3 linked regions of the Schizosaccharomyces pombe genome follow. Changing the gene in region 3 together with the main gene of any one other region gives a genetic interaction. Each region holds a gene or a part of one and is shown on either strand. Other genes may lie near its edges. The genes, in order: pob1, its3 and sec8.

Evidence for each region.
Region 1: mutations in sec8 (region 3) and pob1 impair growth when combined (synthetic growth defect), as found in Schizosaccharomyces pombe (one study listed by BioGRID).
Region 2: mutations in sec8 (region 3) and its3 are lethal when combined (synthetic lethality), as found in Schizosaccharomyces pombe (one study listed by BioGRID).

Annotation. Positions count from the first base shown.
Region 1 is NC_003423.3:4,387,140-4,393,063, forward strand, and holds pob1 (Boi family protein), read right to left. Parts: upstream 4,024-5,924; 5' UTR 4,015-4,023; coding exon 3,883-4,014; intron 3,688-3,882; coding exon 1,204-3,687; 3' UTR 657-1,203; downstream 1-656. Other genes in the region: Ran GTPase Spi1, read right to left, coding at 52-177; vma10 (V-type ATPase V1 domain subunit G), read right to left, coding at 4,952-5,092, 5,149-5,249, 5,293-5,335, 5,383-5,421, 5,469-5,471. UniProt on the Schizosaccharomyces pombe protein: Has a role in cell elongation and separation.
Region 2 is NC_003424.3:4,070,302-4,075,536, reverse strand, and holds its3 (1-phosphatidylinositol-4-phosphate 5-kinase Its3), read right to left. Parts: upstream 3,402-5,235; 5' UTR 3,162-3,401; coding exon 1,411-3,161; exon of another isoform or gene 1,358-1,410; coding exon 1,246-1,357; exon of another isoform or gene 1,243-1,245; intron 1,150-1,242; coding exon 784-1,149; 3' UTR 501-783; downstream 1-500. Other genes in the region: trehalose-6-phosphate phosphatase Tpp1, read left to right, coding at 1-270; protein Poz1, read left to right, coding at 4,781-4,886, 4,924-5,235. UniProt on the Schizosaccharomyces pombe protein: Catalyzes the phosphorylation of phosphatidylinositol 4-phosphate on the fifth hydroxyl of the myo-inositol ring, to form phosphatidylinositol 4,5-bisphosphate. Involved, together with the calcineurin ppb1, in cytokinesis.
Region 3 is NC_003421.2:489,838-498,020, reverse strand, and holds sec8 (exocyst complex subunit Exo4), read left to right. Parts: upstream 1-2,087; 5' UTR 2,088-2,094; coding exon 2,095-2,254; exon of another isoform or gene 2,255-2,298; coding exon 2,299-2,348; exon of another isoform or gene 2,349-2,408; coding exon 2,409-4,018; exon of another isoform or gene 4,019-4,035; intron 4,036-4,066; coding exon 4,067-4,241; intron 4,242-4,282; coding exon 4,283-4,421; intron 4,422-4,471; coding exon 4,472-4,913; exon of another isoform or gene 4,914-4,958; coding exon 4,959-5,189; exon of another isoform or gene 5,190-5,236; coding exon 5,237-5,651; 3' UTR 5,652-5,846; coding exon of another isoform or gene 5,847-7,799; 3' UTR 7,800-7,863; coding exon of another isoform or gene 7,864-7,953; 3' UTR 7,954-8,005; downstream 8,006-8,183. Other genes in the region: kcs1 (inositol polyphosphate kinase), read left to right, coding at 1-1,158; histone H2B-K119 ubiquitin ligase complex (HULC) subunit, ubiquitin-protein ligase E3 Brl2, read right to left, coding at 5,847-7,799, 7,864-7,953.

The sequences.
Region 1 (5,924 bases), on a different chromosome or scaffold from region 3:
CGTTTCCGGTATACAAAAACTGTTCTAATAAAGTAAAATCATAAAACGTACCAAAGTTGCAATATACTTCTTTTCAAATTCACCAGTCAAATGACGCTTGACGAACGTGGTCTTACCGGTACCACCATCGCCGACAAGTACAAGCTTAAAGGTAGGAACGTTTTGTGGTTGAGCCATACTAAACTTTTCTCTGTTGCACCTAAACTAACTGAGAGTTTGGTTAAAGGAAAATTTTAGTGGTGCGTAATTTTTATATGAATAAAAGACCTGGGTATAACAAAACCCTAACCCTGATAGTCGATTGGAATTTAACAGAAAAGGGAGTGTATGGTATAGTTTTTTAATGCCGATTTAACGAATTGTTTAACGAGTTTGACTATTGCTCTTATTGAAGTTGATCGCCAAAAAATGGATATAGTGTCGTTTTTGAAATTTCAAAAAAGAATTGCTTCTACGAAAAGCTACATTTGTGCGTACTTGCTTATACATTCTGGGTTTATACACAACTTACAAGCAGCCAATGCTTACTTTTTGGACGTCACTACACGGTTTTGATTGCATGTAAAGATAAAAAACCGCAGCCAAGAAAACGTATTTGCTAATCCAAGGAATGCCAGGAATGCCCATACATAGAAAACAAACATTCTAAATTTTCATTAGCTATATTAGTATCACTAGTAAAAGGCCTACGAATTCTGCAATGATCCAGGTCCGCTACCAGCGTGGACTCAGCTGGATCGAAATGATCGAAATAAAGATTAAAAATAAAACAAACGAAAGTGGTAGGAAGTCGACAAACAAATGAAAATTATCAGTAAAAAAATGCTGAATTAATAGAATGATGCATTTGCTTTTAAAAATTTATGCAATAAAAGATAAAAGCAAATAATTCAACGTTAAATAAGCCATATGTGCATGATGAAGATACTATAGCTTCCGCTAGTAAATGTCGGTAAACCAGAATCGAAATGAGCGTATCAAATATGCCCGGTTAATTCTTAAATTGGTGTCAAATATGTCCGCAGTAAAAGCATCAACGAATTTAAAATTCAAACATATTAGCTATGTTTTCAATTTTGAAGGGATATTTAGTTTGAAAATAGATTAAGGAAAACCAGATACTAAGAACAGGGTCTGTTGCGCAGGTTTTAGAATTGGAATGTGTTGCACTTTGCTTTTGTGGATTTTGAGGAGTGTCGGTATTTATTTTTGCTTGCTTGATTTCTTATTCTTTTGTTTTGCATTCTTCTTTAATCCAATCGAAGAAGTGAGATTTGCTTCATTTTCATCATCAATTAATAGAGAAGGAGGCCTAGTACGAAGTTCTTTAGCTTTGCTAAGTGAAATGGTAGGCATTCTCGACGTTGTCAAAACAGGTACCGACATATCGCGTTCCACAGTAGCCTTGAGAAAAGCCGAAGACCAACGATGTAATTCTTCATTATTTTCACAAGTAAAATAATGAACCTTTGGTGGAGTGAACATAACTGCTGCTTTAGCGGCACCTGGAGCAGGTGGAATTAACTTGATAGCAGTTTTGCCTCCACTTAGAACAATGTCATCGGTTTTCGTAACACGATGAGAAGTCATATCAATTAGGCCTTTTTCTGAAGCATCATTTAATGAATGGTAATAAGAAAGCCTTGTTCCTTTTAATACAAAGTATCTAGACTTCCAAACACCGTAACGATCACTACGTTTCCGCATCCAACCATGACAGTCCGCCGTTTTAATTGCTTCTTTGGCAGGTATATTACTTAATCCTTCACTAATTCCAGTAGGTAAAACCTTTTGTCTCCCAAAAATATCACGTTTCGACTTTCGTTTACCTATTGGCTCTTTATTTAATGGTGATGAAGCAACAGAACGAAGGGTTGGACGAGTCTTTAACTCAGTGCCGACTGGAGGTGAAGCGGGTAAGGAAGCAGCCGGAGATGGAGCAACAAAAGTATTTCCTAATTTTGAGCCCTTCGTATCTTTGGGTTGAGGTTTTGAAAGAGGAGTGGCATAATTATTAACAGCGGATTTTTCGTTTATGGACACCCCTTTGCTTGTGACAGGCGATGATGCTTTTGCTGATGGGTCTGGCATTGATTCAGGTGACTTAGTAACAGAACTTGAACTCCCTTGTTCGAGATTGCTACTAGGGAGTCGAGAACTTATCGATGAAGGACTTTCACCATCAATAGTAGTAATCTTTGGAGGATCCAATTCTTCCAAAGCTTCGATAGATATAGCTGAAGCTGGTGCTTTTCCTTTCATAGCACTTGGAATAGGTCTAGGAGGTACGGAAGAAGATTCCGATGCACCGCCCGTAAATTTAGTAGGAACGTTAGAAGATGGTTGAGGAGCATACAAGTTGCCCTTAGATGAATGATAAGGTAAACCAGGAAATGAAGTTCCTTCCTTATCAACATCAATGCTACTGGTAGAAGGAGAAGAGATGGGCTCAGTAAGACGAGAAGGTAAACCGCTATTTTGAGAAATTGAGTCCGTAGGGGATGAACGTTTTAATATCGGTGATGTGGCCGAAGGTTCGTTAGAATCAAAACGAGATACATTTTCAGGGACCGCAGATTGCGTAGACTTAGAATTGCGCGAACTTGGTGTGGCTAAAGGAGGAATCACGTATTGGTTCCAATCGGTAGATGGAGATGAGTCCAAATCAGGTGAAACAATCATATTTGACAAAGAAGGCATCACACTAGTCGGACGATTAACATAATCGTTAAATCCCGGACGAGTTGGACTGGATTTTGATGGTGAACCGCCGGCTTCATCATTAGATTTTTTTGGAATAGAAGAGGAGGAATCAGAACTTTGGCTAACAGAAATAGGCTCAGCAAACTGCGGATATTCTTCATATAAAGATTGTTCGTATGAATCTTTTAATTGTTGGATCTTTCGTAAAACTTCAAAACGTTTTCCAAAAGAAGTAATGTTAAGTTCTTTCAAAACATTGGAATCTAAGCCTAATAAAATTTCACCGGTTATTTCATTCTCCGCAAAATTAGGAGCTACTGATCCAAGGCCGGCATTCATAAGCCATTCAACTACCTCTTCCGTAGACCAGTTAGGAACATTTTGAATTTTTTCGGAAACAGCAAGAGAGGATGCAGGTCGATTTTCAATATAGGGCAAAGGTGAACTGTCATTTGGAGTACGAGATGCTGAAGTTGACATATTCTGTAAAGCTGTTTCAATATCTGTAATAGTTTCTCTAACGGAATCCTCAGCTGACAAAACCTTTTTCAAGCTTGCTGAAGTAGCAGGAGCAGAAGTAGAAGCAGAAGCATTATTATAATCGGCATCAATAGTGTTGAAGTTTGATAGATCTGAGGAAGGTTGGTTATCCAACAAAGGGGAAGGGCCTTCTTGTTTAGAAGATGGAAACATTGAGTTAAAATTACTAGGGACCGAAGGTTTCGAAAGACTATCAAGGGGGCCGTTTAAGATTGATGAGTGACTTGAAGACAAGGAATTATTCGAATACAACTTTTCACTGTCCTTGTCCGATCGTGAAGAAGTTGACCGGCTGCTTGATAAAGAGGATCTTGTGACTTCCGCGGTAGAAATGGAGAAATCTTCTTTGCCTCTTCTTGAATCACTTGAGTCAGACCTCTCATCAGATATCAATTCTACGTGCGAAGCAGGAAAAATACCCCTATTTCCCTGTTCATCTTCTCCCTATTAAAACTTAGTTAGTATGATAAAAATATATCAAGGTTTCACAATCCTAAGGGCATGCAACTTTGACATATAGTGTTTGCATCTTTATGTGGATTGGAAAACTGTACAAAGCAGGCATCAAGAATCCTTCAAATTATAAAATATACCAGGAATAAAAATAATAGGATTTTGACTTCGAAGTTATATACTTACTTCCCACCAACCATCACCAAATTCTTCATCCATCTTTATCAACAGATACTTCCGACCTTCAACCAACGGAAGTTCATCACTACTCTTCCCCGGAAAGGAATGCAAAGCAATCACGAACCGCTGACTTGCCATAGTTGTGGTAAAAGCAGAAAAAACACAGCTATGTGGTTATGCGGTGTTGTAATCGAAGGCTTAAATCTTGATGGCTGGCAAAACAGTGTTTACCGTGTTTGGCTTAGCCCACTTTAACGATAATAATCTATGTGGGGAAAGACGACCTTCGTGGGGGCTTTGCTTTTTGAAATCTGCAAGTCTGTTATATTACATTAGGAGAGTGTTGCAGAATGTGTTTTGACCTAGTCATGGTTTAACCAGTACTTACGTGGGGGTAATAGTAGTATTAGGTGTTGAATAGGTGTTTTATTTATTTCTTCTAATATACATGTCGGTACGTTTGAAGGCAAAGGATAGAATGTCTCATCTTCGTATATTAACGAATAAATGAAGGACCAAAGAACTAAGAATTGTGATTATGCTTACGTTTCCATTGAAATACGCTTAGTATAACGATGAGGGTGACAATTGCATAGTTACTATAATACATGTATCTAATTTATTTATTCACGTGTGTAATGAGGTCGATTGACTTGATCTACCACAAAGGTATTATGGAAATGCGATCGAGTATTAACCAGGTAACTTATTATTTATACAAGGTCCGTCTACGGTTGAAGGTAATTATTGGATAACTTCGCTAATATTTCACAATACTAAAATAAAAAATGAGCTAAACTCGTATTTGACCATATTCCTGGGATATCAACAGTCCACTATATGATTTTGCTTAATAAGAATCATTAGCTATCTGAATGCATGATTATTTAACAGCATCCCTCGCAGACAGAATTCTATACCCTTTACGATCTAATAATTGCAAATATTTCATACATGTATGGGAATATTAGATGATTACCGTTAAAGTGATTTATTGCTAAAAATTGCAAATACAGTTTTCCCTTCAGAGGATAGTAAGAATGTGTATATAAAAATTTAGTAATAAACAGTAAGTTTACTTAACATTGCAAGTTATAGATAAAATAGCATCAACCACTTTATCAGAGTTCTTCTGGGAGCTTGTCTCGATACTTGCAAATGTGTCCTGGACTTGCTTTTTGCTCTCCGCTTCAGCCTGACTATATATACCAGAAGCCTGATATGTTAAAATTGATTGTCCAAACTCTTAAAAACTGTATTGAATAACTTTACCTGACTTTCTGACTTTTTGAATTCCTCTTCCTTCTTGGAAGCGTATTCATCAATTTCGCGTTTAGCCTCAAGACGTGCATCCTTCAATCTTTGAGTGCGATCTTTTTATCTTTTAGAAACGTTGCTCCGATTGATTAAACTTACGTTGGCGAGCCTTTTCGACTATATTTCTAGCAACTTTTTCAGCCTACATATCTCATTAGAAATAACGATCTTGGAATTACCTGAACTTACCTCTAAAAGTTGTTGGATACCAGAATTCGTTTGAGCACTCTAAAAAGAAGTCAGAAATTGCTCCTTATAATAAAAATACAAATTACCATTATGTCTGTAAATTTAATCGTACTTGAGGAAGGGTCTATGGTCGAAGAAGTAATACTGGTTTGATAAACTACTCGATCTCCGTAACGTACTCTATCTACTCTGCTATCCACTAATTCCGTATCTTCTTAAACTCGCTAACGATATGGTAAGATGCGATGTTTTGATTGAAATAATGTTTGCTCCTAAATTTGGATACTATATAATAAAATCAGATTCTTACTATCCTCGGTTATAATTGTTGGGCAACGCGCCGTTGTTTGCTCAGGTGAACTGGAACTTAATAAGTAAATTCGGTATTGTTTTACATTTTTAGGCATATGATCAAGAACTGTAAGTAAACAGATAGCAGAAACCATTTGAATCTTACAATATTACATGATAGTACGTTCGAGCAGCACTGAATTTAACAAGTGCATCTAATAATGCTGTTACGGCGTATACAGCATCCTTGC
Region 2 (5,235 bases), on a different chromosome or scaffold from region 3:
CCTTCCAGTATCAACAAAGGAGGAATTGTCAAACAGATTTTAAGTTCGTATCCAGAAGATTCACTTCCTTCTTTTATCTTTTGTGCAGGTGATGATAGAACTGATGAAGATATGTTCCGCTCTTTGCATAAAAACACTCGTATTAACAAGGAAACTTCATTTGCAGTTACCATTGGATCCGACAAAAAGCTTTCTATCGCCGACTGGTGTATCGCAGACCCTGCAAATGTTATTGATATCCTTGCTGATTTGGCAAATTTTACTAACTGAATGACAAACTAACTATTTCAACGAAGATGCCCGATTCATCTTGTTCTTTACAAAGATTTATTTATTGAGACACACAATCCTGGATCTTAGTTCAGCCTTTAAATTAATTTATGCTCTAGTTATTTATGTTTAGTTGAGAGGTCTTCGTAATTGAACTACTTCCACTACTATGAATCGCTCTTTTCTAAGTACATACGTTTACTCGTTACAAAAGCATACTTTCTTCCTAATGAATTTTAAGTTATATCATAATAATATAGCTTTTTGACAAAGATTGGTGAGGAACTGACGAACATAAGTTATTTGAGATGTAAATAATAAAAGCGCTAATTAGAGCAATAAGTTATAGGTTGTGCATCCGTTAATGCACTTCGGCATACATGCTTTGCTTTGTTTTTTCTCTAAAATAAAAAGATAAATTAGCCAATATATACAAGAATAAAAAGGTGGTAAAGCATTATAAATAAATGCATTAAACTTGAAATATGTGCACTTCAAAGACATTAAAATTTATTAAGATGAAGAAGTGTTCGTAGTAACATTGCGGCATGGGAATGGAAATCGGTGTTCTGTTTTGGGTGATTTATGAGCAGAAGTGCTTTTAGCATTGCGAGAAGAAGGAGCTGTATTATTATTAAGAGAACCATGCTTGTTATTAGTGCGCACATTGCCAGCATTAACGCTTTGCTGTTTGTTAACACGCTGGCCATCCTGCGGTTTTAAGGGGAATGGTTTCAAAACTAAAAGAGTTGGCTTAATACTTGACTCTACAAATTTGTAGAAGCGTGAAGCGTATTCAGCAGGTGGAACAGCAGAAATGACAGAATCTGAATGATTAATGCCCTTCCATAAATGCTCAACGCGCTTAACATATGAATACTAAACACCGGTAAGTATAATGAAAATAAAAGCAAACAAGGAAAACAAGTAAAAGACTTTGCATTCCCATAAAAAAATTTACGCAATTTATCATACCTTAGTAAGTAAGTCAATTATTCCGATATAAAAGATAAAGTTTCCTGGCTCATTGTTTTCATCGGTGGCTTGGAATCCACCGTCATCACTGTAGAACATGAAGTTTCTTCTCCTAAAATAGTGTTAAAAAATAGTCTAATTGTTAAAAAAATAATAAGCACTTACTCAACGAACTGGTCGGTCGGCAATAGATTACAAGATTGATCCAACGAAACAGGACCGGTGCTATTAACGACTTGTCTGATTACATGAACGTTTGAGTGAGATTCATTGCCATTAATCGAGGGCACTCGATGTTGCGACACATTTGGGTCGTAAACTGACAGAATGCTATTACGAATTTTGTCACGATTACCACGTGAAAGGTCATGGATGCCGACAAGTAAACTGTAATCCATAATTCCTAAAGAGGACAGCATATCAATATCGGCTTTGACCTGAGTTAAGAATATCTGACGCTTTAAAGGACCAAACTGAAGATGCATATTTCTGCGAATCCAATTTGTATCTTTCATTGTACACATGGGACTTTGACAAGGTTGATTTTCGTCGAGTTCCCTTCCTAGGGTGGATCCTTTGAGATCAAAAGTTTGGTGGATATCACGATGAGGTGGGAAAAGGTTGTTCATTACAACAAAATGGATTTTTCGGCCAAAGGGTAATTTTACCCTATGCAACCCATAAAATTGCGAAATCAATGTGTTCGGATTATTCTTGACGTGTTCGTAGTAATCATAAAGAATTTCACGCAAAAATTTGTGCTCAGAGTGATGGATTGTTTTAATAATGAATCGATAGTCACGAGAAAAATAAAAAAAAGAACCACTTTTCCCAGGAGAATCTAACTCAGACAAAATGTACTTACTGGTAAGAGATACAAGATAATCTGCAGCATCTAAATGAAACAGCTGCCTTAGATGTCTAAATACCCAAGGTGCATAATCTTTGAACTTAAAATCATACTTGGCGGAGGGAGTGAGTTCGTTGCCAGTAATGTCAAAGGTAAACTTGTGACGAGCAGTAAAATCAGCAGGAGTAAGCTCACGGTCCATTTTCGCTTGGCAACGAGAAACACCGACGCGAATTCCAGTAAGCATGTTGTACGCTGTAACATAGTTTTCATGGCCCTCTGAAACTCTAGTTCCAACGAGAACGCACTCATCGTCCAGTTCTTCCCTGCGACGGCGCATGTTAACACGTTTTTGTTTGACTGCTTCAGCCCAGCTAGCAGAGCCAATATCGGGGGGAATGCCATCCAAAAGAGAACCCGAGGTACTGACGTTGGTACCTCGGTCGCCGGATCTCGAGCCAGAAGGTTCAGCGTTGCTAGAATTTTTTTCGGAGTAAGATCGCTTTAGCGGCCGCTTCGCCTTCTGCGAGGAGCTGAGCGTGGAACGATCATTAGGTGGCTGCTGAGATGAGGTTACAGGGTTGGAGGAAGAGCGATCTATGGGGGCGCGAGAAGGTTGAGGAGAGGATAATTGATGCTTTAAATTTTGTAATTGGGGAGAAGAGGAAGAATTGGAGGAAGGAGGCTCGAGGGCACTTACGATGGGAGAATCTCTCAAGATACCATCAGGTACGCCAGTAGCCGTAATTACCGAATCGTTAGAAGAGGAAGAAGGAGAGTGGGCAGTGGGATTTGAGGGGAAATCTTGATTTTCCTTAAATAATGAATCGTTAGGTTCATAAATATGGGTCTCCGACCGAACTTCGATTTTGGGGTTGGTATGAAGAACATCGTGGCGCATCGTACGTTCGAAATCGTTTTTATGGGATATCAAATCCTTTTTTTGAAACGTACCATTTGGAGCAAAAGCATTCCCATTCAAATCGACAGCCTGCTTTTCATCATACGAAGGGATTTCGTTCGTTATAGAATGCGGATTCACTATGCCGTTTGAATCAATTTTCATTAGTGTTTCCTACAAACATATATGAAGAGTTAAAAATTTACTCGCCAATGGACTCCAAACACAATTTTTGATTCCGTTTTTTAACAAACAATTTGAAGACGTCAATTTCGTCGTTTTTCAGTTCCTACAAAAGCAAGTTTTTTCCCAAGTTATTCAAAATGTTTTAATTTACCGAAAAGAGCAGCTTAATTCTCTTTTTTATCAACTCTTTCACCGCAAAACACTTGATACCAGCGAAGTGTTGTTTCTACCAGTTTCTTCCCTAGATATATAAAGTCACCGGAGTTCACCGAATTGTCCGGCACATTCTCCAATAATTCGCACTAATGGCAGTAAATGGATAAAATTATCGCTTTCTGTATGGGAAAGGAGCAATCCCGAATTTACCAAGCCAAAAACTTCTGAAACCCAGTTCCATTATTGCGAATAGTCCATAAGCTTGCGATGTTTGAAGTCGTTGACAACGTCGATTTCGTTGAATGTAAACAAAACGAATCTGCTCAACGTAAACAAAAGCATCGATATGGGTGTGTTGCGTGAAGAGCTGGATGCTGTAAATCCAATTTTATAAAGGCTTACTTTTTAGAACCTCTATTAATCAATTTATAATGATTAAGCTTGCATGGATAAGTACAGCAAATGATTGAGCTATTTTGAAAATCTAAAGATTTGAAATTTCCTTAAAAAAAAAATAAATAATAAAATAAAGTTAAAAAAAATTAAAGTAAGATACACATAACGTATACTTCGTTTATTTCAAACATATCAATTTATTTTTATTTTCCAAAAATATATATATATATATATATTTAACAAAAAGAAAAAGGAAATATCCAATATTCCTTTTCTTCGTTCTCAAGTTTACTTTGAATGTCTATAATATAAAGAAGCTAGCACTGAATATTCAACTTTAAGAATCCATTGAAATTATAATCAAAGGACAGTATCTAATGTTTTTTGTCTTACTAGATAGATAATTGCTTTTCCCATTCCTTCGGGTTTTGTGCACAAGTAAATAAAGAACTTCGGATAGAATCTTAAGAGGCTTGGGTAGTAAAAACATTCAATCAGATGGATCATTTAGTTCTAGCAAATAACAAATTAGAGTAATTTTTGAGATTGAATAAGGAAAAATATCTTGGAAGAAATGATCAATCGCCTAAAGCATGTTTATTTCGTAAGCTTTTCATGTCTTAAGGCACAAACACCACCGTGATCCAAGGTAATTGGCATAGCGTTATGAAAATGAAGGACTTAAAATGGAGAGTAAAATTTATTCTTTTGTCACGCCAAAGTCGATCTTCCATTCAAATACTTTTTTCATTTGGAAATTTTGCTTACCGCTTTTTTGGATAAAGCAGTTCACTGTTTAAGGGAATAATTTATAACATTAAACAAAATACACTTCTTTAAGGAGTTAAATTCGTCTTCTGTACGATGTTCCAAGAAACATAACAGTAGACAAAGCTATTCGATCCATTCGTTTTTAGATTTCTTTATTAAATGATTTATTTTCTCTTACGGAATGGTATTCATTTTATCTCGTAGACCAACTTACATTGACTTTACCAACTTTTTATACTTTTATCCTTCGTGTATAGATTAGTTTTTTCCATAAAATGAATGAGAAGATTCGTTCACAATCTGTGCTGAATACACTAGAAACGTTTTTCATCAAGGAAAATCATTATGATATGCAGAGAGAAGAATCTTCCATTGTGAACGGTATGAAAGCCAATCTTGAAAATCATTAACCAATTAGCCTGCTTACGATATTTGGGTTATTCGAAATCAATGTGTCATGAAAAAATGCCGATATTCATGGATATCGCATTCATTGAGTATTGCTTCAATCTTTCGCTTGACCCTTCTTCATTTCAAAACCTTCCGATTACCCAAACTCAGCCGGATAGTCAACAAATTCTTTGGGAATATTCTCTTATTAGCAATGCTTTAGAGAGGCTAGAGAATATAGAACTGGAACGCCAAAATTGTATGAGGGAAGATGGCCTTGTTAAATACACTAATGAACTTTTACTTAATAAAGAAACTCTAAACAATGAAGCTTTGAAAT
Region 3 (8,183 bases):
CGCTTTTCATCAGATGCTGTTTGGGAAGAACCAGAATCTAACGAGTTTCCTCGGGTTTCTGGTACAATGGAGGATTATGATTCAAGGGAGTCAACAGGACATACAATAAAGGAACTACGAAGTACACCGAACTCGCATGGAACTGTACCCGATGACTCTATTTTTGCTATGGACAATGAAGAAAACAGCGAGTTACCTCCACCTCTAGAACCAGCAGAAATTGGAGATCCATTCAGGAGCGTAAATGATCCTAGGCGAGTACTCTCTCTTCCACACATGGCATCCGCCGATGAAGATCACCGGATTCCAGCAAGCGATAATCAAAACAATAATAATAATGATGCTAATGCCCTCGCGGAAAATTCGGAATCTCAACATTCTACCCAGATTGAGAGATATATTGTGATTGAAGACTTAACGAGTGGAATGAAAAGACCTTGTGTGTTGGATGTCAAGATGGGTACTAGACAATACGGAATAATGGCTACGGAGAAAAAGAAAGCCTCACAAACTAAAAAGTGTGCGATGACTACATCTCGAGTTCTTGGTGTCCGAATATGTGGAATGCAAGTTTGGCATCCTTGGCTTCAATCATATACATTTGAAGATAAGTATGTAGGTCGTGATATTAAAGCAGGAGAGGAATTTCAACACGCATTGATGCGTTACTTAGGGAAAACGGATGACGATGAAGACAATAGCCATCTCTTGGTGCATCATATTCCCACGATAATTAGAAAGCTAGAGCAGTTAGAGCAAATTGTTAGGTTTCTTAAAGGATCCCGCTTGTATGCTAGTTCATTACTATTTTTATATGATGGGGAGCCGCCGCCAAGCGACAAATCCAGCAAAGAAAAAGTCAAGCCTCGTGAAATTGACATTCGGATTGTTGATTTTGCCAATTGTGTTTTTGCTGAGGATAAAGAGCTTTTAGCAAAAGCTACATGTCCTCCTCAACACAAAGACACGTATGATCGAGGATACGTACGAGGTTTACGGACTTTGAGGCTATACTTTCTAAAAATATGGAAGGAAGCTAAGGGAATGCAAATTGCGGAACGGGGCTATGAAGACAGTCTCTCTAATGCTTACGATGAACTTGGGGGATTGATGAGTTATTCAAATGATGATGACTCTTGCGGAGAGACGTCTACCTAATAATTCAAATGGTAGCTTTAAAATGTTGCTTGATGCATTTAGTTTCAAAGCACTCTAGAACTTACATTCATCGCTTTGTTGAATATTTCTTGGCAAAAGTGTTTATCGATAGTTTGCGCACTGAGTTGTTCATTGAGCTCGGAAGCTTGAGACCCGCTATTTATTTATATTACTTCAAATTGGCAATCCGTTATATAAAGAAGTCGTTAGTCTTTCATCTTTCTGTTTCGTTAAATTTCTTAATTCAGTGATTGTAACGAAGCTATGACAGTTGGAATCTTCTTGGATTATAAATTTTTTTTCCGCCCCCATTTGTTGTGTTGTTTGTGTTACAAGGATTACTGGTTTTAATACTTGTATCCTTCTAATGCCCTTAATCTCTCTTTTACTTTCTTATCTTTTAAGATTGTCATGTGTTGATTTTTGTAATGGAGAAAATGCATATTGAGATTGCGCATTTTTAACCGTTCTTTCTTTTTTAGTTTTTTTGTTACATCTGCACCCCTTTATTCTGACTTTTATTTTGGTCTTTGGCATTGCTCATATTATTATTCTCTTAATCATCTCATCATACCTTATTTTTTTATTATGGCATAGTTATTTATCAAAGTACTTTTCTGCGAAGTATCTTAATTTGCCTTTTCTTGGATGCTTGATTTTTCTGTTTATATTAGTATTATTTCGTGGTAGTAGTAGCTTAGTTACACCCTTATCATTCTTTTCTTATACAATAGTCCATCACCCCCATTAACTCTGAAACACATACAGAGTTCTTTTGCATGCTCCTTGTCAGTATAAAGTATTAAATCAAGGTGCGCTGTAATAAATAGCAGTGCGTTGGTCCACGTAATTCATATAGTGATTTCTTAGCTCTCCTTTCAAAGATAATACAGTCAATAGACATATCAAGCTAAAACTACTGACTATTTGACTTCCATGGATACCAGAGGCTATTCGGAAACGAAAAAAGGAAGGTATCCAGTGGGAAAGAAAAGCTTGGAATCTCCTAACGGCTACTCAAATTATGGAACTAGCATGGACAATGAATTGAGTTCAGAGTATGCATCGCGTGGAATGCACATAGGCGATTTAGAAAGTAAGGTGAAGCAGCAGGGAGTTTTGATTTAACCTTTATGCTAGATTTAGTAAATGAAATTGAGGATGAATGGAAAGACCTGGGAAGAGAAGACGTATGTTGCGTGAATAAGTGAAGATTGGAGGATGTTTGAATTTACTAACGAATGGTTAAGTATCAACCGATATCTACAGCGTTGGAACTATTAGATGACAGTAGCTTTGGAAGAGATTATAAGTCTTTTCTGAACGTTTACGATCGAATTAGTGCTGCATTACAAACGATTGCCCATACTCATAAAGATGACTTTACTCGAGGTATATCGGCTTATGGAGAAATAATGGAGGGAATTCAGAAGTGCAATTCGAGAATCATAGCATTAAAGCAATCCCTTGAGGCTTCGCAAGAATGCATTGGTAATACTAATAGCAAAGAGCTTCAACAAACATTGGCTCGTAGTTCTCAATACAAAAAAGTCATAAGTGTGCTCAAGGAACTTAATGAAGCCAACCAGCTGTTTGACAACTTTCATACGCTTGTTGATAGCAAGCAATATTATCATGCCAGCGATTTAATACGTCGTGTATGGGATGAATTAAGTCGTTCTGATTTTGACGGAATATTAGTAGTGGAGCAGTTTAAAAGTCGGATGACAGGACTCTTGTCACATTTAGAGGACATTCTATCTGAAGAGTTGGTTTCAATTACTTTCCTTAAAGATGCTGTCGCTTATCCCATAGTATCGTACTGCTCTCCAAATCCGCTGAGGGAAACTTCCAACCCATATTTTTTGAGAGATTTTTTAAAAAACAATGCAAATACATCAACTCTGGGCCAAAGTGAGCAATTGCGTTACCTAGAAGAAGCGCTTTCTTTAAAGTTGTCGGATTGCTTAAAAATGGATTATGGTAGAGACAGTTTACGTGATATACGTATTGTTTTGGAGTCATTGAATTTATTGGGAAAACTCCCCAATGCTATTTCATCTTTAAAGTCTCGTACTTCTGCGGAGATGTTTACTACGGTAGATTCTACTTCACGTGCAATCGTTAACAAATATTCACTCGGTAATAACGTTTCTACCGTTAATCCCTTTTCAAAATCACTTTATGATATAGGTTTGCACGCTGAGACTGATAGAGAGCATACTATGATTTCCGAGTTCTTGACGAACTTATTTACAAAATTAAGGTGTGTTTTAATGCATTATCGCGGTATCTCCGAATTCATGACCAAATTAGAGACTAAAACACCAAAGCATGCTTCATCTTCTCACAAATCTAGCATTATGTCTGTTAACTCGGACCCCACAAGCCCAAAGGTATCAAAATTTGATACTTCTGATAGCACGTTTCCATTTGATACGTTGCTGCAAGCATTCGAGAGCGAAATTAGGTTAATGTTAAAAGATTATCTTATTTCCAAAGAAGAGTATATTGAAAATAGTGGAAATTTCGTTGTTGGAACTGAGATGTCCATATACAACCTCCCTGGCGAAAATGAAGAAGATAAACTTTTCGACGTAACAAACGAAATTGCTGTGGAGAACAAAAGTAATGCGTTTTATGCCAGAATAAATGAGTTGGTTAACGAAAAGGCTCCAGAGCTTATTCTTAATAAATCAAATGCTTCAGTTTCCACTATTGAACTATTTTCTGGAAGTTCGAAAGAAATTGTACGTTTGGCTGGCCACGTTGTATTTGTTGGGCCTTCGGTTTTTCATGCTTCGTCTGTCCTACCTCAAACCGTATTCTTTTTGGAAGACAGTGTGTCTATTTTGAAAAAGTACGTCAATTAAGTTGAGTTTGGATTATTTTGCTAACAAAAATTTAGCCCAAATATACCTCCTCAGTTTGCTGTTAATTTTATGAAAGAATTTTTAAGGGGAAGTTACATTCCACAATTATACAAGTTTATGTCGAGTCACTTTGACACCATAATGAAAGACGTGGGTGCGTTCCAATTGCACAGAGATTGGAAGATATACTCTAAAATCCCAATTTTTAAGGTATAGTCTCATTAAGAAGCTACGATTAACGTTAATTTTAGTGCCATGTGGCTATTGTTCAATATTTTCACGATCTTCAAGATTATTTGCCTATTGTTGCATTAAATTTGGTAGAATTTTATGAATTATTACATACTTTGCTTGTTCGTTTTCGCAACCATTGTTCTGATTATCTCTCTGGTATGTTTCATTTCCATTTTTTCACTGTTTCCCCAGCTTACCCTTTATAGATTTGTGCAGAACGGCTGTTCTCAAAGAATACAAACATGTCAACGAGGATACTGAAGATGTCGATGATACTGTTCGAGTAAAGCTACTTCACGACGATGTAACGTACCCTCAATTTATTAAATTCCTCAAGCAAAAAAATCCATCACTTGAAGGGTTAAATGAGCTTTGTCGAATGGAGAATAAGCGTTTATTACAATATGAAGATCGTGCGATTACGTCCGAAGTTAAACTTCCGGTATCGGTTTTATCCAAAGATTCCGACCTAGTGAACTCGGTTTCTTATCTTCATAACTCCATGGAATGGTTTCTTCAGCGCTGTTTTTCAAGATTTATGAACGGTTCGCGAAGAATGAACGTTTTGCAACAAAACCAAGCTAATTTCGGTGGTGACTTTTTACCAATTGATAATTTGTTGGGTAATAATTCGGATTTAATGAAGGGGTATGTTACTGTATGTATTGAACTTTATACTGATTTTTATAAAAGTGCATATAAAGAAGTCTTTGATTCTTTACAGAGGCTCCAATTCGATGCTTTACTGCTAATCCGAATGGAAGTTCGGTTACAGTACATTCATAGTATTAATCAAAGTGTAAACCTTCCTGACTATGTTGTCGAGTACCGCGGAAGACCAGATGCTTCGATAATGGCTCTCAACTCTACTATTGTGACGACGAATTTGAAACTCGAAACCTGTTTGAATGAATGGGAACGAAGGTAAATAACAAATGAATTCCTTATATTGATTTGCTAACTTTTTATAGGTTTGTATTCCAAGGTCTGAGTGAACTGGTTGATTCATCGCTATACTCTATCTTTTACAAAATAGAATCAATGAATAGAGGCAGCTGTCTTCAGATGCTGAAAAATATGTCAGCAATGATTCAGATTCTTAAGACGGTTAAGGAAATTCATGGCGACGTTGAATTTCCTAAATCTTCTAGAGTCTTTGGAATATACCAAAATGGTGCCAAGAAAATTATCGAGCACTTCATTGCTGCCCCCAAAAAGGAACTTTTGCCTGACGTTAAACAGATGGTCCGAATTTATTACCAGCGATTAATGAAAGATGCAAAAAGAAACGGAAGGGACGATCTTTATCGGCAGTATCAGAAAAAGATTGGCTCGGTTTTAACTCAGTTCGACAACACTGTGGGTGGTGCGAGAAAAAATCCTTAACCGTATAATATAGAATTTTAATTATAATGACGAGTAATGATTTTATAATAATAAATTTATTAACTAAAAACATAGATGCATTGGATAGTTTAAAAACTACGTGACCTAGTTTCAAAGATTATATTAAGGAAAATGATTTGTTATATATACAGCGTTTTCCTGAAAGACATAATTTACACAAATAAAACATATTCTTCAAAGATGTATCGGAATAACATCAGAAGCACCAAATCCACGACCGCAAATCGGGCATCTGCGTTGCCGTGTTTCAATCCGTTTTTGTATGCATTGGTAACAAAAGCCATGACCACAGAGAGAAATAATTCGATCTTTCCAGCGCTCGAAGTTACAAACTGAACACTTACACATGGCCCTAAAAGTTTTTAACTCTTCAGCTGACGTTGATACCCCAGTATCCTTTAACTTTCGCTTCTCTTTTTCATGCTCTTCATCTTGCTTGGAAAGTATATCTATAGAAGATGATAAATCTGAGCATTGAAATTCAAGGTCTGTTAATGTAGCATTATTTTTATCCATAAATTGCTGTAAATAAGACACCTTTTCTTCCAGGTTTTGAATAGTTGATTTTTGAGATGACTTTTTGACTTGAAACGTTGTTGATTGTTTTATAGAGTTATTTCGAACCGATGATAGACGGGCTAGCTGATCTTCAAACTCTATTATTCTATGGACAGCAGTGTCTTGGCTATTTAACATTTTTGAGATAATTTCGTTGGTCTTCTGGTACTTCTGGCGCAGTAACTTTACTTCAGCATGAAGACTATCTGTAGACTTCATGGTCAGAAAATATTTTTGCTCCGCCTTTTCCTTTTCGACACTAAATTTGGTTATCAATTCTTGATAATGGGAGTGGCTACTTTTCACAGTTTGCTGTTTTACCAACCTAAATGCTTTTTCAGTAGAAGCCAACTCTTTAGAAAGGTAAGTTGACAGATCTTTTTGTAACTCCAAATCGTTAAGGTCTACGAGCCGGATTTTGTTTGCAGCTTCACGGGTAGCCACCGCTTTTTTCTTTTCCAATACCATTGTCTCTAAATTCGCAAGTTCATCTAACTTGTCTTTGTAGACCTTCTCTTTTTGCTTTTTAGCTTCCAACTTCTTTTCAAGGGATAAGCTTAATTCAGTCTTTGCGTTATTAATTCTTTTTTCATCGTTTTGCATAACAGATATTTGATGATCAAGATCGTTTATTAACGGCTGATAGGAAGATTCAAAAACACCGTTAAAATTCTTTGACTGTTGCGACAATACATTTATTTCGTGAGAACATTCGGACAATAAGTGCTCTAATACGCGTAACTGCTCAGATGTCATAGAAACAGCTTCTTTAAGTGCTAAAAAGGAAGAGTATTTTTTCAAGTTTGTAGTTTCGACGTTGTTTAATGCGTTTTCTCGTTCCATAATTAATTTATCCATTTCATTAACGTTCGAATCCAAAATTTTAAGGCTTTGTGAGCGAGACTCCATTAAACCATTTTGTTGGTCTTGAAGCCTGGATAATTGTTGCAGTTGAGTACGTTGTTCAACCGTGCTAACTTTCTTTTCTTCATCTTTCCCCTTAGAGGAGGTGGTTGCTTCCTCTTTCACTTTAGTAGACTGGGGTCTCACTGATTCATTAATGCATTGCAAAGTAAAACTAGACGAGCGATCTGGTAGTTTTATAATTGAATGAAGCTGAGACCGAGTGGTATCCAATTCATCTAAAATCTTGTCAATATCCAAATTAATGGTGTTTAATTTCTCAGTAAGGGCAGAGTCATCAATTGATAAAACTGAAAAAGGATCTCTGGAGACCGAATTTGTGCTTGAGTCAACAGTAGACAAGAGTTTTTGAATGATGCTCAAGGCTTTAGTTTTATTATTTTTCACAGCGTCATTGAAGTATGAAAGCTCCGGGAATTTCTCCAAAATCGAAAAAACACCTTCACTCTCGAAGTCCTTCAGCTCATTGCCTTGAAACACAACGCTAAACTGCTGAAGTATTTCAGGCCACCAAGAGACCAAAGTAGCTAAAACTTTTAATTTCTCTTCTGCTAAATTTTGAAGTCCCTCTATTTTACTTTCTAACTCATCAAATTGAATGCTCCTCACTCTTACATCCTTTAATAAGTCTTCTTTAGAGACTTCCTTTAACAGAGTTAGCGACATGTCTTAACATTCGAATGCCTAAAGGCTCAACACGTTAACATACCTGAATATCATCATCTTGTATTTCTACATCTTCAAGTTCTCTTTTCTGGCCTAAGATTGTGGGGGCATCTGGTTTACCATTCTGATACATTCTCGAAAGTCGTATACATCAACCTATCAATATAAATTTCCTTTTTTTCAGAACAATTTGTTTTTTAACGAAAAAAGAAAACAGCCAAAACCTAAAAGACAGACTGTATTTTTCTTATACTAAACGTAATAACGCGTAATGAATAAGCAAGTTATAGATACGCGTCTTTACAGATCTATTTCAAATTCTCCTTCTTAGTTGAAACTTGCCGTATTGAAAATATGCAATTC